Cricetulus griseus: one gene and its partners. The protein of the gene in region 1 interacts with the protein of each later gene in a pairwise test. Links are inferred from orthologs where the notes say so. Each region holds a gene or a part of one and is shown in the gene's direction. Other genes may lie near its edges. The genes, in order: Homez, Snrpb2, Dnttip1, Mad2l1bp, Prkaa2, Sdcbp and Aen.

Region 1 (4,282 bases):
ACGCCCATCTTCACCTCTATCCCAAACCTGTAGCCTGGGTTTAAGAAAACACTGAGCTCTGGGGAAGAGAATTAGCCTCTCGGCATTTTGAACTTTCCATGCAAGAAAATGAAGGATTACTCTTTCCTCCCCGCTTTAACCCTTCTCATACTGGAGTTACTCATTTGGGACCCCGAGGGTGGAGTCAGTCCCGCCCCCTGGTGCAGCAGGGAAGATAGATGCCGAGCCACCTGTCAGAGGGCTGTGGGCGGGGGCCGGGTCAGCGAGGCCCGCAGAACCGAAGGGAGAGCGCCGTTGAGCGCACGCTCAGAGCAGACAGCGGGAAGCCGGCAGGACCGACAGTCTTAGAAGACAGTGGGGTTGACCGCCAAAGGCAGGGAAAGGTGGTCAAGGAAACCCGCCAGGCCAAGAACGCGAGGTGACAGCAAGAAGGCGAGTCCAGGGCTAGCAGCTGCCGAAGCAGCCTTCCGCCCTATGCGCGGACGCGGAGCGGGTGGCCGAGTGAGGACGCGCCGGGCGGGCACTGTGCGCCGGCCCCGCTGGGGCGCAGGGGTGCCATGTCCCGCGAGCGGCCTCCGCGCACCGACATCCCTCGCAACCTGAGCTTTATAGCAGCGCTGACCGAACGTGCCTACTACCGCAGCCAGCGGCCCAGCCTCGAGGAGGAGTCGGAGGAGGAGCCGGGGGAGGGCGGGACCCGGCCCGGCGCCCGCTCGCGGGCTCACGTTCCGGGTCGGGGGCGCAGGGCCCGCTCTGCGCCCGCAGGTGGCGGCGGGGCGCGGGCAGCCCGCAGCCGCAGCCCTGACACTCGCAAGAGAGTGCGTTTCGCTGACGCGCTGGGGCTAGAGCTGGTCGTGGTCCGCCGCTTCCGCCCGGGGGAGCCGCCCCGGGTGCCCCGCCACGTGCAGGTGCAACTGCAGAGGGACGCCCTGCGCCACTTCGCGCCGTGCCCGCCGCGCGCCCGCGGCCTCCAGGTAGGCGCCCCGCCCCCGTCCCCGGGACCTCGGCCTCCGCGCTCCAAGCCCTCCTCTGACCCGCCTCCCCGCCCTCTCTCCTCAGGAGGCGCGCGTGGCCCTGGAGCCCGCCCTGGAGCCCGGCTTCGCCGCCCGCCTGCAGGCGCAGCGCATCTGCCTGGAGCGCGCCGACGCGGGCCCGCTGGGCGTGGCCGGGAGCGCGCGCGTGCTGGACCTGGCCTACGAGAAGCGCGTGAGCGTGCGCTGGAGCGCGGACGGCTGGCGCAGCCTGCGGGAGTCGCCCGCCGCCTACGCCGGCCCTGCCCCGGCCCCGCCGCGGGCTGACCGCTTCTCCTTCCGCCTGCCGGCGCCTCCGGTCGGCGGCGCCCTGCTCTTCGCCCTGCGCTACCGCGTGACCGGCCGCGAGTTCTGGGACAACAACGGTGGCCGGGACTACGCGCTGCTTGGGCCCGAGCACCCTGGTGGTGCCGGAGCCGCGGAGCCCCAGGGCTGGATCCATTTTATTTGAACTAGGCTCCTGCTGGCCACAGCAGGGACAAAACAGTGGCACCCAGGCGTGGGGGGAGACTGTGGCGCCAGGAACCCGGGAACCACAATTGGCAGATGGGTGGAGGGCGGTCCCAGAGAGTCAAGTCGAGGTGGCTGGAAACCGTCTGTGAAACTCAAGAGATTAGGGTGGAAAATGGCAGGTAGGTGTAAGCGGAAGGAACTCGAGATAAGAGGCCCAGAAGGGCTCTGGAAAGTGAAGCCTCCTTGGGCTAGGAAGCCCAGTGAAGTCATTCGGTTTGCTTCCCTCTCACTGGCCCTACCACCTCAGGTCCCCGTGCCCTGCCCACCCTAGCTTTATCTGAGCCGAAATTGCCTTGCTTAACCCCAGGAATTTGACCATTGCCCCTGGGCCCTGGCAGTGTGACAGCATTCCCTTGACTCTCAGCAGTTCCTGGCTTCAGTCTTCAAGGAAACATGGGAGAGAGTCCTTCAGCCACGGGGCGAGCCTTGGTGGCATCTGCAGATGGTGGCAAAACCAACTCCAAGCCTGCCCTTGTAGTCAAATAATGGGGCATCTAAGGGGTTTGCATAATCAGGCTTCCAGAAAAATGAATGCCAGCCTTACTTTTCTGGGTGCCTCTTAAAACCTTGAAGCACTTTGTGGACTGTCTGCGGAGGGACAGTGAATCATGAAAATCACTACTGATTTATTCTTTGTGCCTCTGAAAGAAGAGGAAACCACCAAGTATCTGTATGATTGAGCAGGTTATTTTATCTTTTTGGACTCCAGGTTCCTCTGTGAGAAATTGGATTTGAGTTAGGTGGTCCCTTAAGGTTCCTTTTTTTTTTTTTTTCTGGACAGGGTCTCTAGCCCAGGGTCTCCTGCCCTAGCCCCTGCTGTGCTGGGGTTATTGGTGTGAGCCACTATGTTTTTAGGGCTACATTTTGGTGTCTCATGATCTGTTCATGGCACAGTATAGGTTAGAAACTGTATTCTCCAATCTAGTGCTACAATTAAAGCCCACAGGGCAAGCCAGGTGTTGTGACACACACAGGGAGACTGTTGAGTTTGAGGCCAGCCAGCTAATATGATTGATTATTTAATCTATCCTGGGCTACATGAGACTGTCTCAGAAAATTAAAAGCAGCAGCAAGGCTTACCTAGCACAGTGAGTCTGTGGTTGGAGATGAGGATAGTCTCCCCCACACACACACCACTTTTTGGGAGTGGGGCACAGATGATCCAGGATACAGCCCATAAGCAGCCCATAGCCTCAGTGTGTTCCACGCCACAGCTCACCCTGTGCCATTTGCTCTTAACTTCCACAGACTTAGAGCCCCAGTCCCGTGAGAAAACGGAGACCAGTATTACTGTTAGGGAAAGTGATGCATGGTAGCCCCAGAATGGAACAGTTGGAACTCTGGAGGTCATGGGTATAAGAAATAGAAAACAAAAAATGAAGGCAGAGGTGACAGTTTGATCCATATCCAAGTCAATGAAATGGAGAACCTGGAGCCTAATGCAATGCCCACATTCACACCTCATGCCCTTCCTAGGGAGGCTCCAGGTGAGAGTTGGGTTTTGCTGGTTGTTTTTCCTTTCCTTGTCTTTCCCTTTCCCTTCTTTCTTTTTTAAGATTTATTCATTTATTGTGTATGCAGTGTTCTGCCTGCATGTTTGCTTACAGGCCAGAAGAGGTCACCAGATCTCATTACAGATGGTTGTGAGCCACCATGTAGTTGCTGGGAATTGAACTCGGGACCTCTGGAAGAGCAGCCAGTGCTCTTAACCTCTGAGCCATCTCTCCAGCCCCCTCACTTGTTTCTTTGAACATGTAGGACTTTTGCCTTTATTTCCACTCTTCACCCTTGTTGGTCTCTACGGGGCATCCCCTTTCCCTTGAGAAATCCCTGTCCACAGCCAGTTTCTCACTCCACCTCTTCCCTGCCAGGTACCCACACATCATTCAGAATTCAGTTTGGGGCTTGTCCCTTTGCCCCTGCAGTCATTCATCAAACATTCACATCTAAGCATCTTCTGACCTTGTACAGAAAACAGTTTGATGTTTCCTGGGGATCACCTTCAGGTTCAGCAAAGTCGCAGGAGGCACTGTACTGGAAACCACCAAACTCTGGTCACTCTCTAATCTTCAACAAGGAACCCAGGGAGACTGGGTGGAGGTTCCATTGTGGTGGCATCATTCCTAGTGTGTGTGTGTGTGTGTGTGTGTGTGTGTGTGTGTGTGTGTGTGTGACTGTTACTTCTTAACAGATCCTATTTAACTTGTGTGCTAAATGTGTGACATGCATGTTTAAAACAGCACTGTGACTTGAGCATTATCTCTTTTAGAAATAAGTCCAGACTCAGTAATTTGTTCAAGAGTATGGGATTGTGAGCCCAGGAGGTTCCCATAGTCTGTGTGGGTAATCATGGTGGTATGTATTTTTCTTTGATTAAGAACAAAATTAAAAACTTTGCTATATATCCTCTATCATAGGGAAAGACCATCATTCATTATGCTGTGCCTTCCTGTCCTCCAAGGGGCCCAGACTTTTACCCCACCTTCTCCTGTGCCAGCATTCCAGTTCTACAGGGTCAGAAAGGCACTAGCCCATGAGCCTGCTAGAGAACTCGGGAACCAATGTAAATGCCAGCTTTCCATACACTGGGTTCTCTCCTGGCTCTGGCCAACCCGCTATACCACCTGGCGTGGCATCTTTCCTTCCTCTCCCTCCATTATCCTTGACTAGGTACATTATTTATTTAGGTTTTTTGAGACAGGGTTTCTCTGTGTCTTGGAGCCTGTCCTAGAACTCGC
Region 2 (4,081 bases), on another chromosome or scaffold:
AAAATAGCTATGAACTCTTGGCCAGATCTATTTATATAACACAGTGAACGGATCGCTTATTTCAGGAAAAGCTTTTGAGCTGCTCTCATTACCACCAAGCAGTTAATTAGCTGCTTAGATGTGTGTGTGTGTTAATGGGCAGGGCACCTTGTTGTTCCTTAGAAATTATTTTTATATTTACTTGATGTTCTTTTGTTAAGAATATACTAAAAAAAAAAAACAGAATATACTCAATAAACCAGGAGGTAATGGTGCATGCCTTTAATTCCAGCACTTGGGAGGCAGAGGCAAGTGGATCTCTGTGAGTTCAAGACCAGCCTGGTCTACAAGAGCAAGTTTCAGGACAGGCTTCAAAGTAATACAGAGAACCCTGCCTCGGAAAAAAGGGGGAGGGGTATTATACTCAATAGTCTTTTTAAAAAACAGGCTGGTTTCTATGTGTGTATACTTAAAGAACACTTTCCTATGGTTGTTCCTACACTTACAGGATCCTCACTAGATATCACACTTGTTTCATTGTGGCCTAATTTCCTGAAACTTCATCCATTCATCCAATGCATATTTATTATCAGTCATTCTTCCAATTACTTCAGTGAACAAAACAAAGTATCTACCCTCAAGACACTATTTCCATGCCACAACTTCAGGTGATTAAAAAACAAAACAAAACAAAACAAACAAAAAAACCCCCAGAAGCCTCGAGCTAATGAAATCAACCAATTTTGTTCCCACCCCAATTTTTAACCTAGAAAAATCCAGACATTTTGTGAGGAAAGGAGACAGTAGGAGGGTGGGAGGAAGTTAATGGTTTCTGAGTGAGTTTAGGCATGTGACCTTTAGGTTGATTGCTTGTTCCTGAAACATGGTGAGAGAACCAACAAACACTCTCTTCGCCCTGGGGTCGAAGACAGGGCTGCATCTAATGTAATCTGCAGAGTGCTGGAGTGTTCTTTCAGACTCTCAGAAATCTGAGGTTGAATTCCGGGAGTGAAAAGGGCCATTCTAAAGGTGGCATTAAGCAAAGTTGGCCAGCACTCATTGAAAGGTTTGCCCACTTGTCTCTGGAGACAGGCTGAAGAACTGTATCACATCCTAAAGTTGGGAAGCTTCAACATCGAGGTAGGAGAAAACCATCCCCTTCCCTTCTCTCCTTCACAGCTTGGCCCCTGGATCCTAATTTCATCCTCTCCTTCCCACAGTAACAGTCCTCGCCACCCTTCAGGGCTGCGCATGCGCAGAAAGATTCCGGTGCGGGAGGCCGGGGCCAGGAGATATCGATTGACTCGGTGCTCGGCTCCTCGACTTCTCTGCGTTCGATTGAGGAGTGTGGCCTCGCTCTTCCGGCGCCAGGAAGCTCTTCCGGTTTTGGCTTCAAGCGGGACGGAGCTTGCTTCAGGTGTGTCCCTCTGAGTCTTCCTAGCTGTGGGTGGTTTCGGGGGGCTTGGCCGGATACTCGCACTGGCAACCGAGCCGGCCAGGGCGAAGGTGTCGTCTGCTGCGCGGTCCCGGGCTCGGCGGAGAGTGCGACCTAGGGGAGGAAGGGACGGCGACCCAAGGGCTGGCGGGTTGAGGCCCGGCGTCGCGACCGGTTCTCACGGAGTGATTGGGTTTTTAACGCCCGTGGGGCCCGCGCGTTGGGCAGATTGACCGGTGTGTGAAGAGGCTCAAGCTGCTGCCTAGGAATCAGCCCTGGGGTAAAGAACGGGCGGTTGTTTGGGGCATTTACGGTCCGATGAACACTCTGAGCCCTCCGCCCTCAGCAGCCTTTTGGATGAGGGCGGCGGGGGCATTTCAGGTGCCCCCCCTTCAGCCGGCAGGAGCTACTGCCAGAGTTTCTGCTCTGGTCCCTGTCTTCCTTGAGACCCCAGTCCTTCTCCAGGTTCCCATTTAGGGAAGCAAGCCTTTGATAAACGTTACCTACTAACTGTGACCTGCGTAGTGCAGTCCCTTCTTGTAAGTCATCCATCCCATGATGTTCAGCACAGCGTGTTGTGTGACGTTCAGACCCTTGAACTTGTAATAACCGTCAATAATAAATAGTAACTTTAGGTGCTTGCTGATGCAGACCGTTAGGTATCTGTCTCCTTTAGTCTTCTGGGCTCCATTTTGTAGGTGCTGTTACTATCCGTAATTTGTAGCTGAGGACCCGAGGCATTAAGTAAGGAACTAGCCCCCCAGCAAAGCAGATTGTAAAAGCATAGACAGAATTTAAATCCGGATCTCATTGGTGCCAGAATCCGAGTTCTTAATTATCATTCTAGATTGTTTGCTAAGAGTATCATTCCTTTCAAATCTGTCAGAGGGAATCTCGAGGTCAGCCGTGGAGGTGATGTGTATAAATTAAGAAATACGTTTCAGGGCTGTCGAGATGGCTCAACTGGTAAAGGTGCTTTTTGTCCACCTTGAGCACTTTGAGTTGGGCCCCTGAGACCCATATGGTGGAAGAGGAGAACCTGGCCTTGAAAGGTTGTTCTCTTACCCTAGAATTAGTGGTGACCCTCTCTCTCTCTCTCTCTCTCTCCCTCCCTCCCTCTCTCTCTCTCTCTCTCTCTCTCTCTCTCTCTCTCTCTCTCTCTCTCTCTCATACACACACACACACACACACACACACAATCGTTTAAATAGTTTGTGAATGCGCTTGTGAACTGCATTGTAAATTTTATTTTTCTATTGCAATATTTTTTTTCCTAACTAGGCTTATGCTTTCTAGTTTCTTACATAAATGTTTAAATCACCGAAATAATTTCTGGTGAATATAATCAAAATGCATTGTATGACATCCTCAAAGAATTAGTGAATATACTTTTAAAAAGTTATTATTATTTTGTTTGTTTTTTCGAGACAGGATTTCTCTGTGTAGCTTTGGAGCCTATCCTGGCACTCACTCTGGAGACCAGGCTGGCCTTGAACTCACAGAGATCCCCTGCTTCTGTCTCCCTAGTGCTGGGATTAACGGCTTGCGCCACCAACCCCGAAAAAGTTATTTATTTTAAAAAATATTATGTAGATCATTTATTGGGGGTTGGGTAAGAAAATGTAGTACCTTGAATAAAATGTTTCTAAATCTGTGTGTATTGGTGTTCTGTTAAGTTTTGACCGTGAGAACTATTTTCTTTTTGTCCAAAAAGCCCCAGTAGTGGCTAGGGAGGAATTGCTGTCTACTGTCAACTAACAGTTTCTGACATCTGAGGTGGCAAAAATAATTTATCAACTAATGGTTCTTGTCTTTGGTCATGCCATACATCTGTGTGCTTTAACCCCCCTTGCTAACAACATATTACTTATTTCTTTTAGGCTATTCCAAAGGTTTTACTCAAACATGGATATCAGACCAAATCACACGATTTATATCAACAATATGAATGATAAAATTAAAAAAGAAGGTATGGTTTGTTTGTTTTGTTTTTTGTTTTGTTTTTAATCCCAGGTGCACGCCTGGGATTAAAGGCGTGCTCCACCAGTGCCCGGCGAAGGTATGTTCTTTTAAAAATACTTGTTCACAACTAAAATGTGTTGGTTCACCTATCTTAAGAATGTTTCTTAATGTCTGATCTAGTCATCTTTCATTTGTTCTGCAATGGTTTATCCCATTTTTACACAACTCGAAGGTTTTTTAATATAAGAACATGCAGGGACTGAAGTGCTTTGAATTGTTTTAACTCATAAATGGTTTCAAATAACTATTTAAATTAGATGGCTAATGAGAATAGTTTGGATGTTTCTTTTTTCAATTTACTATAAATGAATGATAGAGGTAGTCATTGTATTGCTATTTTATGAAGAACTTAGTCATTGTTTCGTTCACAAATTCCTTCTTATTTGTACAGAATTGAAGAGATCCCTGTATGCCCTGTTTTCTCAGTTTGGACACGTGGTAGATATTGTGGCTTTAAAGACCATGAAGATGAGGGGGCAGGCTTTCGTTATATTTAAGGAACTGGGTTCATCCACAAATGCTTTGAGGCAGTTACAAGGATTTCCATTTTATGGTAAACCAATGGTAAGCTAATCCTATTATTTCTGCTTTAATCACTATTATTGAATGATACAGTAGGTTTTAAGTATGAACTTGATGCTAGGC
Region 3 (3,979 bases), on another chromosome or scaffold:
GAACGGCCCTGGTAGTGAACAAAAGCTCAGTGTTCTTCCTTCCGTCCACAGGATCAGAAAGGGCCTTTGGCTTTCCTAGCCTCTGACAGAGGGAAGAACTGGAAAGACAACTTAAAAGAAAATAACCAAGCTAGTGGTGTAACTGAATCATAACATTCTGTCCATCCTTGGGAACTGTCAGAACCCACGAAAAAGCAGTATCCAAGTGTTGCAGCATCAATACAAAAAGTTTACAACTTGGTCCTTGTGGAAGGGAGTGAGAGTGACCATGCAGTTAATATGAGGGGAACAAAGATCCAGACCCACAGCCAATATTCTTAGCCCTTGGCTGAGACAGGGTCTTGCTATGCAGCCCAGGCTGGCCTCAAACTCCTGAGCCTCCTCCTACTTCTTCCTAAGTTCTGGGGTTATGTGCAACATCACACCTGCCACAGCCAATGCTAATAATCATATCACAACAGGACTGAACCTAGATCTTTCCTAACGCAAAACCCATACACTTTACACTACCTGATTACGGCAACCTGCGAAGAGTAACGTTATCAATCACCCGCAAATGAATCCAATTCTTTCACGGACACGCTTACCTCTGAGACAGTGCTAAGTGGGGCTCTTGTGGGTGTTTAGCCACTGTTGCTAAACCCTTCATCCCCAACCTATCCCAGAATAACCGTCTAGTGGAAAGGAAAGCCAGCTCTCTGGAACAGAGCAAGCTCAAAAGCCAAAACTCAACCTTCATTCTGATGCCTTCAGACAACAAGAGGCAGGCACTAAAGGCTAGTGGCTGTTTGTGATGGCACGAGCAGCCCTCTTTCTGTTGGCTTTCCTGGTTCCTGAGTCGGTCCGCTCCACTTCTGGGACCTTGTACCAATGTATCAGATTTTCCTGCGGTTTTCAAGACTGCACTGCGGACAGTCCCTATCCCAAACCCTGTGTTCCCCAGCTACAGCCTGTGCTCTGCGGCCCTCACATCCGCACTCGTCCCGGGGCCGAATGGTCCCCGAACACCCACACCCGGTCCCCAGCCGTCGTCTTCCAGGGGTTTGGAAGCCCCAACCTCGTCCCCACACCCAAGATCCGGAAATCCACCTAGACGCGGCTCCCAGGCGGCAGTTCGGTTCCCATAGCAACCGCTCGGCGCACCCGCGTCGCGCTTCCGGCCGGGTGGCCGGGACGCTCCCGTGACGTCACGGCGCCGCTTTCCGGTGGCTGAGTCGAGCTGAGGTTGTTGTGGGCCGGGGGCGCCATGGGGGCGACTGGCGACACCGAGCAGCCGCGGGGCCCCGGCGTGGCAGAACGAGGCGGCCTGGAGTTGGGCGACGCGGGCGCGGCGGGGCAGCCGGTTCTCACGGTGAGGGCGCCCGGGCGAGGCCGGGGCTCGGGCCGGGCAGGGCCTCGGGCTCCCGGGCTCCGGGCCCGCGGGCAAGAGAACGCGGCGGCTGTGCGGCCCTGGGGGTGCCGTTTTCTCCGTGCGACGACCCTGGATTCAGATTCTAGCTAGGTGACGTGGGCCTGATGTGACAAGCTCTGAGCGCCAGGCTTCTCTTCTGTGAAATGAACAGCAGTAACCCCAGCTTGATGGAGTTGTGGTGGGATGGGCTGATAAAGGCGGGTAGAGCGCCCTAACATCACCCGCCACAGGGTAGACGCTCGGTAAACACTGCTGCTCTTATCCTTGCCCTTCCAGAAAAAAAAAAAAAAAAGCGAGCTTAGGGCTTTTGAGGCAGAAAACATTTTCCCCAGTTCCTCCACCCTGACAGGGTTTTCCAGCCACTGAATTCCCCTTCACCCCAAGGTGGGAGAAGTGAGAAGCAAGAACGTCTATGTTTAGCTTTATGTATATCCACTGACCCCTCGTCCCCACCGTGAGGGGCCTCGGTGACATTTGCCCACTTGGTCCCCACAGAACCCTTGGAACATAATGATAAAACACCGGCAGGTGCAGCGAAGGGGCCGCCGCTCTCAGATGACCACAAGGTAAGGCTGGCCCTGGGTGAGACCGGGTGAGTGCTTTAGGAACCCCGCTGCGGGAGTCTGGGATGAGGAATTGGCAGAAAGAGGACTTGGGGTGGAGAGAGACTCGGGGGCTGGGATTCTTCCTGTGACCTTAAGTCAGTTCCACTTCCAAAAGAAAAACAGGAAAGGTAGTACAGTCTATTACGTTCTCTCGCGTTTATCGCCTCTGTGATGGAGAGAATGTAAAACCAAGATTCAGATGACCTTTGTAATGCAGGCTCTGACGATTATTAACCGGATAACTTTGGTTATCCTTAATTTCTCTTAGCCTCGGTTTTCTCAGCAGAGATGTGGGGCTACCAGTTAAGTGTGCAGCCTGGGGAAGGGAAAGAACCCAGGATGGGCCTTTGGAATTCTAGTTGTATTTTTGGCCTGGGTTATTGATAATCATTTATTAATCACAGCACTTGTCTGAGGCAGGTGGACCTTGGAGAGTTATGATGAAATAAAATGCTGTGTTTCTGTGATCTGCCAGACTTTGAGCACAAAGCTGGTTTTGTCCAGTACTGCTGGGCCACCTGGGGAGTATGTTTGGGACACTCCCTCTGACTGTCTCTCTTCTGAATGCAGTTTCACAGATCCAGCCATCTCTATGGATCTCCTCCGTGCTGTCTTGCAGCCAAGCATCAATGAGGAGATCCAGAGTGTCTTCAACAAGTACATGAAGGTGAGAGGCGTACAAAGCTAACAGCACTACGAAAACAAACAGTGCAGCCAGGTTCAGTGGTGGACCCAACTACTCAGGAGGCTGAGGCAGCTGACAGCCAGCTGAGACAGCATAGTAAGACCCCTTGATGGAGGAGAAAAGAATAGAGGCTGGAAAAGTAGCTCAGCTGTTAGTAGTGCAAACCCCCATCAGGCCACTCCCAGCTACCTGGAACTCCAGATCCAGGATCCAGTGCCCTCTTGTGGCCTCCGCAGGTATATACACAGAGTATACATTCCACAGATGCATACATGTAAAAATATTTGGGGGAAAAAAATCTTAAAAAGAGGGCTGGTGAGATGGCTCAGAGGTTAAGAGCACCGACTGATCTTCCAGAGGTCCTGAGTTCAATTCCCAGCAACCACATGGTGGCTCACAACCATCCATTATGAGATCTGGTGCCCTCTTCTGGTGTGCAGATATACATGGAAGCAGAATGTTGTATACATAATAAATAAATAAAATCTTAAAAAAAAAAAATCTTAAAAAGAAAAAGCCAGGTATGGTGACACATGCCTTTAATCCCAGCACCCAGCTCTTTGTGAGTTCAAGGCCAGCATGGTCTACATAGTGAGAAATGCATAGTGGGACCCTATCTCAAAAAGAGAGAAAAAGAAATAAAGGAAGAAATACGGGGGTGGGAATACAGGAAGACATCTAGACAGTCTGGCTGGTCTTTCCTCCTGTCACCAATTTCTCTTCATATTCATGCTACACAGAGAGAACTCAAGGTTTCAATTTTAAATATATACTCCAAAAATTTTTTCCACTGCTTGGAAGTAATATCTTTTTTTGCCAAATAGTTTCATTTTAATGTGTTCAGCACCCTTGATTAGAACATAAGAAATGACAAACTTTTGCCAGGCGATGGTGGTGCCCAACCTTAATTCCAGCACTCCGGGGGGCAGAGGCAGACAGATAGATCTGGTCTACAAAGCTACACAGAGAAACCCTGTCTTGAAAAATCAAAAAAAACGAAAAGAAAAGAAATGACGAAGTTTTTTATTGATTTTTAAAAAATACTATCAGCATCATTAGTTAAATAATTTGGGGCTGTGTGTATAGCTTAGAGCACTTATGTGAACAAAGCCCGGGGTTTGATCCCAAGCACTGAAAAAAATAGTAATCCATGATTAGCATATTGCCAGGCATGATTGCGAATGTGGAAGTTTATGAAACAAATAATAAATAAATGCTAGGGAATGAGTGAAAAGAAGAGGTGATGACTGGGACTTAAGGGAGAGTAGAACTAGGGTG
Region 4 (4,142 bases), on another chromosome or scaffold:
TGTAATGCTGGTGTGGAAGTCTGTTTTGTTCTCCCATTATGTATATCAGGAGGACTGAATTCAGGTCATCAGTTCTGGCTGCAAATGCCTTTGTCTTCTCTGACATCTTCTTGCAAGCCCCATAACAGGTATTTCCCTACTGTGTGTGTGTGTGTGTGTGTATGTGTGCCTGCCACAGAGAGGTGTGGAGGGAGTCTGGTCTTTCTTTTCACCTTGTGGGTCCTGTTTGAACTCAGGTCATCAGGCTCAGTGGAAAGCTTCCTTACCCTCTGTGGCATCTCCCAGGGTTCCTCACTGCCCTAATTGAAAAAATTTACCCATCAACCTACAGGAAAAAATCATATTCAAACTTAAACATTACTTGTAAGCCGGGCGTTGGTGGCACACGCCGTTAATCCCAGCACTCGGGAGGCAGAGGCAGGCAGATCTCTGTGAGTTCAAGACCAGTCTGGTCTACAAGTGAGTTCCAGGACAGCCTCCAAAGCCACAGAGAAACCCTGTCTCGGAAAAAAAAAAAAAAAAAAAAACCAAAAACCAAAAACAAAACCTTAACCCCCTAGACTGGGAGTGGTGGAACACGCCTTTAATCCAAGAATATGGAGGCAGAGTCAGGTGACTCTCCAAGCCTGGTCTACATAGTGAGTTCCAGCACAGCTAGGGCCATTATACAGGGAAATCCTGTCTTGGAAAACCAACCCCTGCCCCTCCTCTGCCCCCCACAAAGCTTAACTCTTTTGCTTTTGTTGTTATTTTTGAAACAGTTTCCCTGTTAGCCTTGTCTGTCCTGGAAATCGCTATGTAGACCAGACTGGCCTCAACTCACAGGAGTGCTGGGATTAAAGGTGTATGCCACCACCACCCAACAAAACTGTAACTCTTTATAATATGAATTTCTTCTAGTCCTTGAACAGAGAACGTGGTGTCTCATGATCTCAAACATTAGGATCATCCTTTTAACCTAGCTAACTTTACCTATAGGTCACGGGGCACACATTCTGGGGACCACCCTTTCCCTGCCCTAAAGTCTCACCCTGCCGCAACCCGCTGTGGGGCGGGCGCCCCTGTTCTTCACAACCCCGGTGCAAGCCCATTGTCTAATCCGCAATAGGGCTGCAGATTGACTTGACAGTGGCTGAGTCTCCAGCACCTAGGACAGGGCCTGGCACGAAGTAGGGCGCAGTGAGAGGTGCGCAGTGAACTGTCGTGAAAGGATGCGCCTTTAGGAAGGCGGCCCCAGGGGTCGCAAGGGTCGCCTAGGTGGGGAGGGCCAAACGTTCCTTTGCCAGGGTGTGGTTCAACTCAGCCAACTCCACCCTCCACCACCCAGGGGCCGCGCTGAATCCCTTCCGGCTGGCAGGCTGCAGGAAGTGGAGCTCAAGCTAGCTTCCCATGATGCTCCGCGCGGCGTCTATTTATTTTAACCGCAGGGCGACTGAGCAGTAGCGATGGCTGCGCCCAGGCCAGAGTTCCTGTCTGAGCCGGCTCCCGTGGCCGTGCCCGGTAAGGCATGGGATCCAGAGCTTGGGGGCCTGTTTCTTCCCTGCTGCTACCTCCCTGGAGGAAGTCAGCCGCTGCGCTTCCTCCGTCGTTCCTCCCTGTCCCTTTGGTTCCCGGTGTCCCGGCCGGCCCGAGCTGGCCCTGTGGGTCACTTCCTCGCTTTGTGTGGAGTTGCTTCTCCTGCCGTGTCCTTTCGGGTGTGCTGGCCCCCACGCCACCCTTCATAGCGAAGCCTCACTCTGTCTCCGAAAGCCTCCTTGTGTCCGATGTCATTTAAGTCGCCCCCCCGCCGGGCCAGCATCTGGTCTCCTGTCACCGCCCAGGGTGTATGGGGGCGTCTGCTGCTGTGACCCCTGGGAACGAGAAGAGTGATGCTGATTTTGATCCCCCCTCTCTTTAACTTTTCATTCACGGACTAGATTTGGATTGGTACGAGAAGCCGGAAGAAACTCATGCTCCCCAGATAGACCCCGAGACCGCCATCACGCCACCCCAGGAACCTTCCAATCCTCCGGAGCCCTTTTGCCCGAGAGACTTGGTGCCGGTGGTTTTCCCAGGGCCCGTGAGCCAGGAAGGCTGCTGTCAGTTTACTTGTGAACTTCTAAAGCATATCATGTACCAACGCCAACAGCTCCCTCTGCCCTATGAACAGCTTAAGAACTTCTACCGAAAATCTCCCCAGGTATGCACAGGCTTTGAAAGAAAATTGGTGGGAAGACCTTGTGGCCCTTAGATGGTGGACAAGTAGGAAAGTGAGTTAAGAAATCCTCAGTTTCCGTGGCAGCCTAGGCCTTTGCAAAGTCTTCCCTTCCTCATAATTCGCCCCACTTGGGTCTTGGTGGTGTCTCTACTCTTCCCTTGCTCTCTGTCTGAAACTCTTTCTTCCTAGTATGTGTCATATGAGGACATCATGAATTTGTTCTCTAAATTTTTTATTTTTTTGAAACAGAATTTCGCTATGTAGTTGGGGCCAGAGATCTGCCTGCCTCTCAACTTCCCCAGTGACTGTTGGGTTATAAGAGTGCACCACCACATCTTGTCTTTCCTTAATGGTCTCTCCTCCCTCCTTCCCTTCCTTCCCCTCCCCTTCCTTCCCCTCCACTCTTGGGACTCCAAGGCCTCCCACACACTAGAGAAGTGCTGTATTACTAAGCTATAACCCCACACCTGAACTAGCTGCTTACATCTGAATTTTTTTTTCTCACCACATTTTCACCTCTGTTTTTGGTTTTGTTTTAATGTATTTTCTTTGGAGAATTTATTTTTTTAAAGATTTTTTTTTATTTTATTATGTACATATGTACAGCAGAAAAGGGCACCAGATTTCATTATAGATGGCTGTGAGCCACCATGAACTCAGGTCCTCTGGAAGAGCAGCCAGTACTCTTAAGTGCAGATCCATCTCTCCAGCCCCATGAGACCCTGTCTTAAAAAATGATTCAAAAAAAAAAAAAAAGTTAAAGGGTATTAAAATTCTCCCCAGAGTTTCCTCACAGAGGTTTTTGCTCAGCACTGCCCCCCATGCTTTCTACCTGCCTACACTGTCTAGTGGACTTGCTTCCTGGGGGTGTCTCCTTTACTAGCAGTTGATAATCAGCTCTCCTAACTCTTAATTCACCCCCCCCCCATTTGGTGCTGGGACTGTCTCTTTATCTTCTGAAGCTTCTTTTTGTTTTTTGTTTTTTTGAGACAGGGTTTCTCTGTGCAGCTTTGGAGCCTATCCTGGCACTCGCTCTGGAGACCAGGCTGGCCTCGATCCACCTGCCTCTGCCTCCGGAGTGCTGGGATTAAAGGCGTGCGCCACCAACGCCCAGCCTTCTGAAGCTTCTTGCTTGTGGCCAATGTTGTACATTCTTTCATGCTTTCTTTACAGGGAGCTCTTTCTAACTCACTCCTTCTTCTCCCTTAATGAACTTCTTTTCTTGCTATTTTAGGAGGAAGCATATATTAATGAGTGAGTGTGTGAGAGAGGGAGGGAGAGAGAGAGAGAGAGAGAAGAGACTGGGTACCTGTGCCACAGTGGAGGTCAAAGGATAATTTTGTGAAGTCATTCTTTCCTGTCTTTACTTGTGTTCTGGGGATCTGAACTCAGGTTGTCAGGCTTGTGCAGCAAGCCCCTTTAACTGCTGAGCCCTCTCACCCCCTTGTGACTATTTTGATGCCCTCCAGCTTTTCTTTATTTTTGGTTTTTCGAGACAGGGTTTCCATGTGGCTTTGGAGGCTATTCTGGAACTAGCTCTTGTAGACCAGGCTGGCCTTGAACTCACAGAGATCCACCTGCCTCTTCCGAGTGGTGGGATTAAAGGCGTGCGCCACCACCACCCAGTGCCCTACAGTTTTTCAATACCATCTTGCGATTCAAGGCATAGAGAACTGTAGTTTATACAGTGCATGTATTTCCCTAATTTAATGCTTTCTGATAAAGCCCAATGTCAGAAATCTTGTGTATCTCCACGGGGTTCCTCCAAGGCCATTCACTTCATCCTACACATCCTTTTCTTCCATCATTCTTTGTCTTACAGGCAGAGGCCACTGTAAGGAAGAAACCTAGGATCACCACTGAGGTGAGCAGCAAGAAGTGTCAGCAGACTCTGGCAGAACTGGAGAGTGTCCTCAGTCACCTAGAAGACTTCTTTACCCGAACA
Region 5 (4,110 bases), on another chromosome or scaffold:
GGCTTGTCAACTTGATACAGAGAGTTATCAGGAAGGAGGGAACCTCACCTGAGAAAATGCCTCCATAATATCCGGCTGTAATGCATTTTCTTAATTAGTGATTAATGGGGGAGGGCGCAGCCATTGTGGGTAGTGCCATCCCTGGACAGGTGGTCCTGGTTTCTATAAAAAAGCAGGCTCCCCCGGGCATTAGAGGCGCATGCCTTTAATCCCAGCACTCGGGAGGCAGAGGCAGGCTGATCTCTGTGAGTTCGAGGCCAGCCTGGTCTCCAGAGCGAGTGCCAGGATAGGCTCCAAAGCTACACAGAGAAACCCTGTCTCGAAACCCCCCCCCCCCCCAAAAAAAAAAAAAAAAACCAGGCTCAGCAAGCCATGGGAATCAAGCTAGTAAGCAGCACTCCTTCATGGCCTCTGCATCAGCTCCTGCCTTCAGGTTCCTGCCCTGACTTTGATGATGAACAATGTTGTGGAAGTGTAAAGCGAACAAACCCTTTGCTCCCTAACTTGCATTTTGGTCATTTCCCCCCCTACAGCAATAGAAAACCTAAGAGAGTGGGAAAGATTTATTGTAAATAAAAGCGGACAAAACGGCAGAAGCAAGGCAGAGACATCTGGGAGGGTCCAGAGTGAACAGGGCCATACTGAGCAGGACCACGTGAGGAGAAAGGGGGGGGGAGGGAGAGCAAGAGAAGAGCCTGGACCAATGTAGCCAAAATGGCTGAGGTAGATGGGGGCCAGAGGAGCTGGGGGAAGTGGCAGCCAGGGCTGCAGAGTTCAAGGTAGGGGGCGGGGTAGGCCAGCCAGGAGGACTGTAGGGTGGAGATGGAGGGATGCTGGGACAACCTGGCGGCCAGCATCACCTCTGATCATTTAACAGGCGCCCCAGTTAGCCATTTGTCCTTGGTTTGAGATCCAACAATAACACGACTAGGAACTGCAAAACAAGCGTGAGTTATGAGAGGGTACAGACTAGAACGTCCCCAGACAATCGAGCCTTGACCGGAGGAGCATCCCGGGGGGTAGAGGAGAGCCGCCCACCCCAGCGTCCACCCCACCTGCCCCGAGGGAAGTCTCACTGTCCACACCCCCTCTCCCCCACTTCTTTGCAGATTCTCCTTCCGTCTCTGTCGCGCTCAGATTCGTCCCTCCCATCTGCACTCCTTGGGGCTTTCCTCAGGGCGCCTGGGCTCTGCGTCCCACCGGCTTCGCCAGCCCCACCGCGCCCGGCGCCCCCGGCGTCCCCGTCCCGCCCCCTGGGCCCGCTGCACTGTGGGTAGGCGGCGGCGGCGGCGGTGGCGGCGGCGCTGAGGGCCCGCGGCCGAGGGAGGCCGTGCGCCGAACATGGCTGAGAAGCAGAAGCACGACGGGAGGGTGAAGATCGGGCATTACGTGCTGGGGGACACCCTGGGCGTCGGCACCTTCGGCAAAGTGAAGAGTGAGTGCAGCGATGCCGGCGGGGGGCCGGGCGGCAGGTGGAGAGCCCGCGGGCGAGCCGGGGAGCCCCCAGCATCTCGCGCAGCAGCCCCGGGCGTGGGTCGGGGGAGCCCGCGTTATGAGCTATGCCTCGGCGGTCCCTGCGAGTCCCCAGTCCCTTCTTTATCCCTCAGAGCGCTTGTCTGCAGAACTGGGCGACTGGCCCAGTCTGAAGGGCCCTGAAGCATGGGGAGGATGGGAGAGACACCGCGCCGTGGATTGGGAGTGAGTCTCCCACTCGTGCCAGATGCCCTGCGTGGAGCGTCACCTGTGACCTCAGTCATTCCTTAATGTGGCACGGTCCGGGTGTGGTTTTCACCTTAAAGGTGAGAGAACGCAAACCCCAAGGCTCCAGCGACACGCCCAAGGTCACAGAGAATTGGCAGATCCAGGGTCTGAAGTCTAAGATGTCCTCCAATTTTGGCCTTGCTGAGAGGTCCCTGCCTTCCCTATTATACCTCCCTGTACCAGACTTTGATGGTGGAGTTGACTGGGGGGCATGCCTAGAGCCAGGAGGTGGGGGGTTCCTTTGCTGAGTGTGTGAAATGCTGGAATGCAGTAGGTTGCACCCCCACCCCCACCCCCACCCCGGTCTCTGCAGGTTGATTGGTGTGTAAAATGTTTGAGAAAGGTTTCTGGGGTCAGGGTCGCAACAAACGATCCTTTGTGATGGAATTTGGGGCCCAAGAGGTCAGGATTGCTTAGGCATGTGTTCTTGAGGTTTGCTGTCTTTGGTGAAGGGATTGCAATTGGGGTTTAGAAAACAGTAACAACAGTAGCAACAAAACAAAAAAGCCAAAACAAATACACACAAAACAGGCAGCTTTGGAAATTTCGCACTGTACTTTCTAGTTAAGTATTAAACTTTGCTTTGCTTTCTTATTAGTTAATAAGAGTCACATGGGCTTTGCTTACCTGTCCTCTTAACAGCTCTTGTTAAAAATACTTGGTAGCAAGTTGAGAATTAAAAGTGAAACATTAGCTTTTTGTTGTTGTTGGATAAATGTTGTTGGGTAAGCAGTCTAGAAATGTTATGCCGAGGTTTATTTTACATTTTAACCTCAAGTGAAGACTTGGGTTAAAAGTAGGAGGGAGAGACGCGTCATTTCTCAACGACTGACCCCTGTTCTTGGTATATCTTATACCCATTTGTACAACGAGAAAACACTTACTGAGAACTCTTAGCACACATGAGGCACTGTTCCAGGCAGCAGACTTCTAGGAAAGAACAAAACCTGAGCTTTCCTGGGGCTTACTTTCTACCAGGACAATCAGAATACACGTGTGAAGCCCGAGAATAGGCGAGCAGAGGGCAGTTTTGTGAGGTTGGCAGATTATAATGAAGTGGTCACACGTGGTGTTCCTGAGTGGGTATTTTTGTAAAGACCTAAATTGTTTGTGAAATTCTTTGAAGTCTTGTGAAGGCTATGAAGTTGAGATGAAAATCAGTTGGGGTCTTGGAAGAACAGGAGAAGATCCAGAGATTAATGAATGATGTTGACAACATCTTTGCTGAGAACTGCTTTGTTAAGACATTGCGCAGTTAAGCGACAGTTGCTTTGCCATTTAGGGTTAGTTATATAGCTTAGCCCTATATTCTTTCACATTCTGCTAAGTGCTTTTGTTTGTCCAGCCCATTGTCAAAGGATAATTTAAATCTATTTAGGTCATATTTTCTCTCTGCTTCTAAGCGCCACCTTCCTAAACTGCAAACCTAACAGAAGGGACCTTTGATTTATGGGGAAAATCCTTTTCCTGGAGAACCCTGGTGGAATGAGCAACTGGTTGAAGTTTTCCTGACACTGTTTGATCTTCCTAAGGAGACACTGTGGTGCAATAGCTAATTTTTTTAACCGATTCACCCAAGGTAGCATATTCTCGGAAGGTCATCTTGATGAAGGATCACTTAGATTACTTAGCTTGTGGGCATATCTGTGGGAATTGCTTAGGTTGTATTAATTGAAATGAAAAGACCCACCCATTCTGGGTTTGGGGCCTGGACTGTAGAAGTGTGGAGAGAGGACTGAGCATGAGCAAACATGCTTGCATGCATTCTCTCTCTGCTCTTGACTAAGGATGTGGCTGCTTCAAGTTCTTGCCATGACTTCCCAGAAATGGATGGCATCTGGAATTTTGAGTTAAAATACTCTCTTTCTCCACTGAGTTGCTTTTAGTCAGGGTGTTTTATGACAGAAATTAAACTAGGGCATGTGGTTTGTAGTAAGTCCAACTCCAGTTGTTCAGTTAATTCAAGGTGAAACAAAGCATGTACATTTAAAAATACATTTTTACTTATTTAACAATTTCATACTTATATACAATGTGCTTTAATCAAATACACCCCCTACTCTCTCCCCTTCAACTCCTATCATACACTGCCACGTCTCCATTCCAAGTTTATGTACTCCTTTTTTTTAACTCACTGAGTCCACATGGTGCTGCCAATCTGTGCATGGGTATAGGGCCAACCACTGGAGCATGGGCAACCTACCAGGAGTCACATCTGAAGAAAACTAGCCTCCAATCCCCAGCCAGATGAGCAGCTGTCAAGCTGTCAACTGCCAGTTGCTTCTCAGCTAGGAGTTGGCCCTCTTGCGCTCCTATCTTATCCAAGGAATGAATATATATATATATATA
Region 6 (3,500 bases), on another chromosome or scaffold:
TGATATTTATAGAAAGTTTATCTTCTAGCACAGAAAAAACAAACAATTAATAGGTTTTATTTTAGTAACTGGCTCAGAGGCCAGTTAGTATATCTGACTTCCTTTGCCCAGGTCTGCATTCTTTGTTCCCTTTGATTTGATTAGCACACCAATGTCCCCTCCCCATTTGCATGTTTCTTGCCTCAAAGGTAATCTGGTTTCCTTTAGAATTATCTACATAATAAGGCTCTTTGGTGTGCTCTTTTTCTTTCTCTATCATTTTGTTCTATTTAATTTGTTCTGGAGATTTTTATTAACTCTTCTCCACAGTGACAGTTTCATTTTACATGCTGTGTAATTTTGGTTTTTGTATTTCATCTAGTTCTCTGCCCCAACATTATTAAAATTATGTATATTGAAGGTGTACAGCATATCGTGTATCAATTTATGTATGTTGTGAAGTGTTCCCACAGTCAAGCCAACCCCTATATCTATCCCTTCCTAGAGTTACAACATTTTAGAATATAGTTATAACACTGGCAAGTTTCAGTTACAAAGATTGACAAGCCATGGTTACTGTGCTGTTCATTAGCACCCCAGACTTACTTTTATCATTGAAAGTCTGTCTACTTTGTCCATCTCCCCATTCTTCTTCTGCCCATCCCTTACCCCCTCTAATCCTGATACTACTTATAGTTTTCATATCAACATCAGACTGTACTATCGTTTTGTCTTTGACATATTTCCTTTAGTATAATGCCCCCAGGGTCATCATACAGTCCAACTGCCCATGTTTTTATGGCTTGAGTATTATGACATTGTGTATCTCTAGACAACATTTTCTTTCTTCATCTGTTGACAGATACTTGCTTCTAAGCTTTGGTCACTATGAGTAATGAATATGGGTATGCAGTTATCATTGGGATTTAGTGATTTTTATTTCCCTTTTGCTTTTGCCCAGAAGTAGGATTGTTTGACCTAGGGCAAGTACATTTTCATTTTATGAGGATCCTCCATATGGTTTTTCATAATGGTTATACTGAGTACATTTGGTGTATGGCAATGCACAGAAGTTTACCAACATTTCTGTCTTTTTGGTAGATAAACTTTTATGTGAGGTGGTAGTGCCATTTCCTGGCTTTGATTTGCATCTTCTAATGATAAATGATCCCTTTCACATTCCCATGAGCCATTTGTTACCTTTGGGAAAATAGCTTATGTAGGCACGTTGCCCATTTTTTAAGTTGATTTACTTGCTTTTCTTTGTTGACTTTTGAGAACAGCTTTTTTGCTGTTCTTTATACATCTGGATACTTGTCCCTTAATATATGATTTGTAAATAACTTCTCCATTCCCATTGGTTGCTCTCTTCCTGTGACCTTTTTTGTTTGTTTTGAGGCAGGGTCTCTCTATGTAGACCATGCTGGCCTTGAACTTACAGAGATCTACTTATCTCTGCTAGGATCAAAGGTATGTGCCACCATGCCTGGCCCCAGCTGTGAAGAAACTTTTTAAGTTTGATATAGTCCTACTTACTGATTTTTGCTTATGCTTCTGGTGAAAAATAATAAAAAAAAATACATTGTCAAGATAAGTGTCAAAGAGATTTGTGTTTTCTCCTAGCTCTATGTTGTGAGCAGATCTTAACAGTTAAGATTTTGAATCCATTTGGAGCTGGTGTTTATATTTGGTAAAAGATCAGCCCCAGCCACTGCCCTGCTCATGATACTTCTGTTTTCCCAATATCATTATACATGTGGTGACTTTGTCAAGAGTAGTTTAATATAAATGTTTTTATGTCATCTCTTTATTTCATTCCTGATATAAATCCTTGTTCATATTTGGCTTATTTTTAAATAGGTAATTTTATAATTATACCAGAGAAATCTTCTGGAGAATTCGTGCTGTAAAAATCCAGTGTGACCTGTTAGTTCTAGGAAATTATGTTTGAAATGAAGGTAAAACATAGTTGTAGGTGACAGGGATATCTTGTGAGAAATGATTCATGTGTTGCTTTCAGTGCTGTGCCATCTTCATATAGTATAGCCCTCATTGGACAAGGCAGTCTTTTGAGACTGTTGCCACTTACATGTTCTCTGGTTGAGGCAGTTTGGCAGCAGATGATGATTGATACACAGGAGTGCCAGTTGACTTAAAGTAACAAGCCTAGAGCAAAACCACTGAATCTTATCTACCCAAGGTTAATGGAGTAAATCAGTAGAGGAATGGAGAAGTGAAAAACCAGTGTCATTATTGTAGAACTCAGACTTCACCTGAGTGAACTTATTTGTGGAATAGTATTTGTAAGAACTAGAACTGTGCATGCTCCAGTTTTCTGTAGATTACTTTCAAGGAAAGTGTTTCTAAATATTGACCAATTATGTGTTTTTCCAGCAGTTGGTAGCAAGACCATCCAGTGTGAACTATATGGTAGCACCTGTGACAGGTAACGATGCTGGAATTCGGAGAGCAGAAATTAAACAAGGGATTCGTGAAGTTATTCTGTGTAAGGATCAAGATGGAAAAATTGGGCTCAGACTTAAGTCAATAGATAATGTAAGTATTTATATTTTTGAACTTATCTAAATAGGTCATGAAATTTTAATATCAAATAATTTGAAATGAAAATAGTTTGACCGGCTGTAATGACACATCCCCAATGAGGAATGTTACGAATCTACTAATTTAAATTTTCTACCTGTTCGGAAGAAGCTGTGCTGGAACTTGCAAGCAGATCACTGCAAACAAGCTTTTCTTTTTGATTCTCTTTACTGAATGCTGTCATGGGGTTTGCATAAACCACGTGATAGAATTTATGTGATAGAATATAGGCTTGACATAGGGCAGCGTATGTGAAAGTAAAGGGAAAATTGAAGAGTAAGAATTGGGTGTGCACTTGTAAACTAAGTGATAATTATTTGTGAGATGACTTTGCAAGTTTATTATTTCTATTTATAAAACTTGCACTTGATAGGCCATTTGTGAACAAGTTGTTTGTAATTTAGGCAGTGAATCACCTTGCCACACTAAAGACATGAAATCTCAGATACATTTTAAAATGTTATGGACATGGTAGATCTCATAAACGTCAATTTACAATCTTTCTTTCTTTCTTTCTTTCTTTCTTTCTTTTTTTTTTTTTGGATTCTTTGTGGCTTTGGAGCTGTCCTGGAACTAGCTCTTGTAGACCAGGCTGGTCTCGAACTCACAGAGATCTTCCTGCCTCTGCCTCTCGAGTGCTGGGACTAAAGGAGTGTGCCACCACACACACCCCCTTGCTCTATTTCTTTTTTATAGCCATTATCTTATTGATTCTGTTTCAGTCTTAAGGCTCCTTAGCTTAGTGAGTCCAAGTTTCCACAAACAAAATAAGTGGCACACTGTTTAGGTGAATGAGGCTGACCTGGGCAGGAAAAGCCAGCACTACCTTTCCACTCAAAGGGCTGAGAGCATGATTGTATGTAGCCCTCGGCACATGTTCAAGACACACCATTGTGTTTTTGTAAAGTCCTGACCTCACT
Region 7 (4,071 bases), on another chromosome or scaffold:
GCACAAAGAAACTTCTCTAATGAGGTCTTAGAGTTCCATCAATCTAATTTATGAAAATACAGATTATTAAGGGAAATTTGATACTGTCTGTCCATTTAGCAAAATAATAGTGGTAGGTTCACCTTTGGGGCCTATGAGCTCCTCTAGCTTTCCTTTTTAAACTTTACTTGTTAAAATGCAAGCGTGTGCACAGGTGTGTGTGTGGGGGAGGGTGGGGGGAGCATGAGCACATCCATACAGGTTAGAGGACAACTTGAGGGAGTTTTTTGTTGACTGGGGTGTTTCATTTCTGCTTCTATCCTTCTACTCTAGCCAGCCAGAGAACTTTAGTTTTTCTGTCTCCATGTACCATCTCCCTGTAGGAGTACAGGGATCGCACATGTGTGATACCACTTCTGGCTTTGCAAGGCAGTTGGTGGATCAAATTCAGGCTGTCAGACTTACAGAGCAAGTACCTTTTACCTCCTGGGTCAACTCTCCCATCCTATTTTCAAAACTTTTCATAGGGAAAGAAGTATATGAGTAAAAGTATCACAAAGGAATAGGTACGCTGGGTGTGGTGGCAAAAGGTTGTAATCCAAACACTGGGATGTCAAAGGCAAGAGGATCAGAAGTTCAAATTCCTGCTAGCTACATAGAAAATGTGAGGGCATTAAGTCAACTTGACGCAAGGAAAAAAAGAAAATGTAGAGGCAACCTGTCTCAAAAAAAATATTAAATATTGAAATATCAGTCCAGAAGAAGCAAACCTGATTTTTCCAATGTATCAGATACTGTATTATTATGATTATTTTATTATTTATTACAGTCGAGCCAGGGTTTCTCTGTAGCCCTTGTTGTCCTGGAACTTGCTCTGTAGACCAGACTGGTCTGGAACTCACAGAGATCCTCTTGCCTTTGCCTCCTAAGTGCTGGGATTAAAGGCGTGCGCCAACACACCCCTGGTTCACTGTTAATATTTCACCAGATTTCCAAAACCCAGAGGCGGGAGGGGCTGCAGTCCCCCTTAGGCAGATGTGGGTGTGCTAAGTGTGTCAACCGATCTTTGAAAGTTGAAGTTCATTGGGCATCAGATCAGAAACCGTAGGCCTTCACTAGCGTCTGGGACTGAAGAGCTAAGTGTCATTGCACCTCTTACTAACCTCCAAACACTGCCCTTTCCGCGCACAAGCCACGCCCCGTAGGTAGTCCCTCCCCTTCTGGGCTGCCACACCTACTCGAGGAAGACCAATCAGCAAAGGCCTTAGGCGGGCGCTGCGGCCCAGCGAACCAATAGACAGGCAGCCGAAGCCGGGCTTGTCCGGGCAAGCTGCCGCTGCGGCGGGCAAGGATTCCACGTGTAGGCCGGGAAAACGCGGCCGGGTTTTTAGGTGAGCTGGGGGTCGGCCGGGGAGTCCCGAGCCGCCGGTCTCTATGCCAGGTGTCCGCCGCTCTCGGGGCGGGGCGGCGGGCGGGGCGGGCCGGGCGGTGTGCAGTCAGACCGGCGTGCTGCCTCACACGGTCCTGGCCGCTCTCGGGGGCTGTGGGCCTGAGGGGGGCGGCGACTGCGAGGATCGCCTACCGGACGCCACAACCAGTGGGGAGAGCGTACTCCCCCTCTTCCACCCCTTTTGGTCTGGTAAGCTTTTGGGTAGCACCGAGAGCCTTATTGCGCCAGGCTTTCCCTAACTGGGATGATTATCAGAATCGTGACTTGAGGGTGGGTCTCGGGTCTTGTCCCTAAACTTTGCCTTCTCCCTAGGGCTACCTGGTCAAAGCCCGCGCTTAATAGTTGAGGGACGACAGTGCCTTCCCGAGGTCATCTGGTTATTTCGTGCTAGAACAGGATGGTAAACCGGCCTTCTGATAGAGACCTGGTCTGCCGGTAGGCAGACGGCCCTTAGGCCACTGACGTCTCTGGCTTTGCAGTTTCTTGGGCGCCTTCTCATCGGGAGCCCTCTTGGGTCAGGGACCCTCAGCTGAAAGCCGAGTGCCTATCATACTGACCAGACTTAAGACGAGAAAAATTTGTGTGTGCCCTTGCTGAAAGGCCTGTGTCCTCTGAATACTTCTCTGCAGCTAAATTGAGTTCCATCCAGTGGTTTCCCTTGGTAATTGTTGGTTCTGGCATGTCCACAGGGCCAGGGACTATAGGAAATGACTGCTTTTATCTCTTCAGATACAAGACTAGAGACATTTCCTCAAGGGAACCTAATATTAGCTTCTTTCAAACCCTGCCAGCATGGAAAGTCAGTGGTCAGCAGGACCAGCACAGGTCTTCTGGGCCAGTTTTTCTCCCATTGCTGGGCTAGGGCAAATTGAGATTCTGAATTTGTCAGTTCCAAGATGTGGTTTGTGGATATGAAGAAGTTGCTGACAACCTCTGTTTAAAAGAGGGAGTACTATTTGGAGACCGGTTGAGCTTGCTGAGAGCAGGTGAGTCAGCAGGGGTCATGGAGTCTCCTCCTGGCTAAGTGGGGCAATATTCCTCATGCAGGTGCTGGCATCAGCAAACACAGGACTTGCCCTCTGGCTTTGCTACCTACTCCTGTGCTACTACTGCCCAGGCTCCTACTCTAACCTTCTCCAATGAAGTAGCTGTGATGTTCCCCTAAAACCTTCCAGTCTCTCTCTCCCCTGTGTCACTGAGCGCAATCCTCTGTCGCTTGCTTGCAGTCTCTCACCATTCCCCACTCCACCTGTCTCCGTACCTCCTGCTACCTAGCTGTTTACAGACTGCACCAAAATCTTGGTCCTTTCTCCCCGCTCTTAGCTTTGTGCCTGTTGCTTCCCTTTTCTGAGCACCCTTTTCCTCCCTGGGCTACCTGGGAAATCCGTCTGAAATGCTGCAGCATCCCCTCTATTGCCAGGCCTTCCTTAACTCAGTGTTTCTTCCTGTTTGGGTGCCTGCTCAGGGTCCTAGGTCCCCTTCCTGTTAGTCCCATTGCTCTGGGGTTCCAAGAATATTGAGCTCTATAGTACCCCAGGGCCGGTCACTGGGAGGCCCGGCTTGAGCTTCTGAAAGGAGTCTGCCCAAAGAGAGGGACAGCAGACATGGTCCGGCTCTGCAGCTTGCTGACTCGAGGCAGTCTGAGACTGAGCTGTTGACTGAGGAGGAGTGTAAAATCCAATGTATTGTAGTTCACAGGGTGAATTTCTTTGCTCCCAAATAGACACAGTTGATGTCCTGGATTAGGGCTGCTGGTCTACATTTTACTGGCCCACCTGGGTGTCTCAGGTCTCCCTCACTTGACCAACAGACATCAGGGTGAGGACACTCGCCTAGGATAAGAGTGGCTTGTGGAAGGACCTCGAAAGTCAGTGGCAGAAGATGAAGTGGTAAAAAGGAAGCAGCAGCCTCCCCAGCTGTCATCCCTGTTATACTTTATGGTGTAACCTGGTGACTTCAGGTGGCTCCTGAGTCTCCCACTGCCCACTCCCTCTTCTCTGAAGGGTTACTGTTCTCCATTTACATGGAAGTGACTTCTAGGAATCACCTGCAGGCCGAGTCTGTTTGGCCTCCTCGTACCTCTGGCCAGCTCTTGGCACACCATGTGCTGCATTTATGTGTCTCTGGTCAAACCAAGCTTCCCAGCCCGGGTTCCATCTTAGTAGCTGCCCAGCATCTGGTACAGTTGGGACCCCCAGAGAATCTCTTTGCAACATTGGGGAGATGCAGGGGTTCCAGAACAGCATTTGCTGATACAGAGTTGCCGCTGGGTCTGCAGGCGATGGAGGGGTATATTTTGGGAAGAGCAGTGAGTCCAGATGGAGGCAGCTCTGGCCTAAGGATAGCTGGCTGCCCAGTGTCCGAAAGAGAATCGCCTTGCTGGAGGAAAGGAGCAGAGACTAGTTATTGAGCCTTACTATGTGTGAGGTATGTGTATGTCAGACATGGGAGCACAGTGATTTATAGAGACCTAGGTTAAACCTTGCACTGCAGATTTCAGCTTTAGGGATTTTCGGTGATGATGTTCAGCTGGAATCTGTTTCTGAAACCTTTGCTTCCCTGTATTCATACTCCCAGCAGTCTTGTAAGCTACCACTTTTAGAGGTGAGCTTGACTTCAGAGCATGGACTCTGGATTCCTAT

Evidence for each region.
Region 2: the proteins of Homez (region 1) and Snrpb2 interact in binary tests that used the Homo sapiens proteins (3 or more experiments, as listed by UniProt). The two-hybrid records come from large-scale screens. The link is inferred for Cricetulus griseus from reciprocal best matches to the Homo sapiens genes HOMEZ and SNRPB2.
Region 3: the proteins of Homez (region 1) and Dnttip1 interact in binary tests that used the Homo sapiens proteins (3 or more experiments, as listed by UniProt). The two-hybrid records come from large-scale screens. The link is inferred for Cricetulus griseus from reciprocal best matches to the Homo sapiens genes HOMEZ and DNTTIP1.
Region 4: the proteins of Homez (region 1) and Mad2l1bp interact in binary tests that used the Homo sapiens proteins (3 or more experiments, as listed by UniProt). The two-hybrid records come from large-scale screens. The link is inferred for Cricetulus griseus from reciprocal best matches to the Homo sapiens genes HOMEZ and MAD2L1BP.
Region 5: the proteins of Homez (region 1) and Prkaa2 interact in binary tests that used the Homo sapiens proteins (3 or more experiments, as listed by UniProt). The two-hybrid records come from large-scale screens. The link is inferred for Cricetulus griseus from reciprocal best matches to the Homo sapiens genes HOMEZ and PRKAA2.
Region 6: the proteins of Homez (region 1) and Sdcbp interact in binary tests that used the Homo sapiens proteins (3 or more experiments, as listed by UniProt). The two-hybrid records come from large-scale screens. The link is inferred for Cricetulus griseus from reciprocal best matches to the Homo sapiens genes HOMEZ and SDCBP.
Region 7: the proteins of Homez (region 1) and Aen interact in binary tests that used the Homo sapiens proteins (3 or more experiments, as listed by UniProt). The two-hybrid records come from large-scale screens. The link is inferred for Cricetulus griseus from reciprocal best matches to the Homo sapiens genes HOMEZ and AEN.

Annotation. Positions count from the first base shown.
Region 1 is NW_023276807.1:210,071,609-210,075,890, reverse strand, and holds the start of Homez (homeobox and leucine zipper protein Homez), read left to right. Parts: upstream 1-1,482; 5' UTR 1,483-1,656; coding exon 1,657-1,663; exon of another isoform or gene 1,664-3,960; intron 3,961-4,282. Other genes in the region: protein phosphatase 1 regulatory subunit 3E, read left to right, coding at 558-974, 1,060-1,482. UniProt on the Homo sapiens protein: May function as a transcriptional regulator.
Region 2 is NC_048599.1:35,876,597-35,880,677, reverse strand, and holds the start of Snrpb2 (U2 small nuclear ribonucleoprotein B''), read left to right. Parts: upstream 1-1,281; 5' UTR 1,282-1,396; intron 1,397-3,294; 5' UTR 3,295-3,319; coding exon 3,320-3,383; exon of another isoform or gene 3,384-3,473; intron 3,474-3,827; coding exon 3,828-4,000; intron 4,001-4,081. UniProt on the Homo sapiens protein: Involved in pre-mRNA splicing as component of the spliceosome. Associated with sn-RNP U2, where it contributes to the binding of stem loop IV of U2 snRNA.
Region 3 is NC_048599.1:14,681,305-14,685,283, reverse strand, and holds the start of Dnttip1 (deoxynucleotidyltransferase terminal-interacting protein 1), read left to right. Parts: upstream 1-1,179; 5' UTR 1,180-1,246; coding exon 1,247-1,351; intron 1,352-1,906; coding exon 1,907-1,977; intron 1,978-2,586; coding exon 2,587-2,683; intron 2,684-3,979. UniProt on the Homo sapiens protein: Increases DNTT terminal deoxynucleotidyltransferase activity (in vitro). Also acts as a transcriptional regulator, binding to the consensus sequence 5'-GNTGCATG-3' following an AT-tract.
Region 4 is NW_023276963.1:39,225-43,366, forward strand, and holds the start of Mad2l1bp (MAD2L1-binding protein), read left to right. Parts: upstream 1-1,342; 5' UTR 1,343-1,445; coding exon 1,446-1,500; intron 1,501-1,916; coding exon 1,917-2,179; intron 2,180-4,019; coding exon 4,020-4,142. UniProt on the Homo sapiens protein: May function to silence the spindle checkpoint and allow mitosis to proceed through anaphase by binding MAD2L1 after it has become dissociated from the MAD2L1-CDC20 complex.
Region 5 is NC_048595.1:44,756,287-44,760,396, forward strand, and holds the start of Prkaa2 (5'-AMP-activated protein kinase catalytic subunit alpha-2), read left to right. Parts: upstream 1-1,310; 5' UTR 1,311-1,341; coding exon 1,342-1,435; intron 1,436-4,110. UniProt on the Homo sapiens protein: Catalytic subunit of AMP-activated protein kinase (AMPK), an energy sensor protein kinase that plays a key role in regulating cellular energy metabolism.
Region 6 is NC_048595.1:154,135,917-154,139,416, reverse strand, and holds part of Sdcbp (syntenin-1), read left to right. Parts: intron 1-2,373; coding exon 2,374-2,535; intron 2,536-3,500. UniProt on the Homo sapiens protein: Multifunctional adapter protein involved in diverse array of functions including trafficking of transmembrane proteins, neuro and immunomodulation, exosome biogenesis, and tumorigenesis.
Region 7 is NC_048596.1:118,717,369-118,721,439, reverse strand, and holds the start of Aen (apoptosis-enhancing nuclease), read left to right. Parts: upstream 1-1,271; 5' UTR 1,272-1,370; intron 1,371-1,468; exon of another isoform or gene 1,469-1,618; intron 1,619-4,071. UniProt on the Homo sapiens protein: Exonuclease with activity against single- and double-stranded DNA and RNA. Mediates p53-induced apoptosis.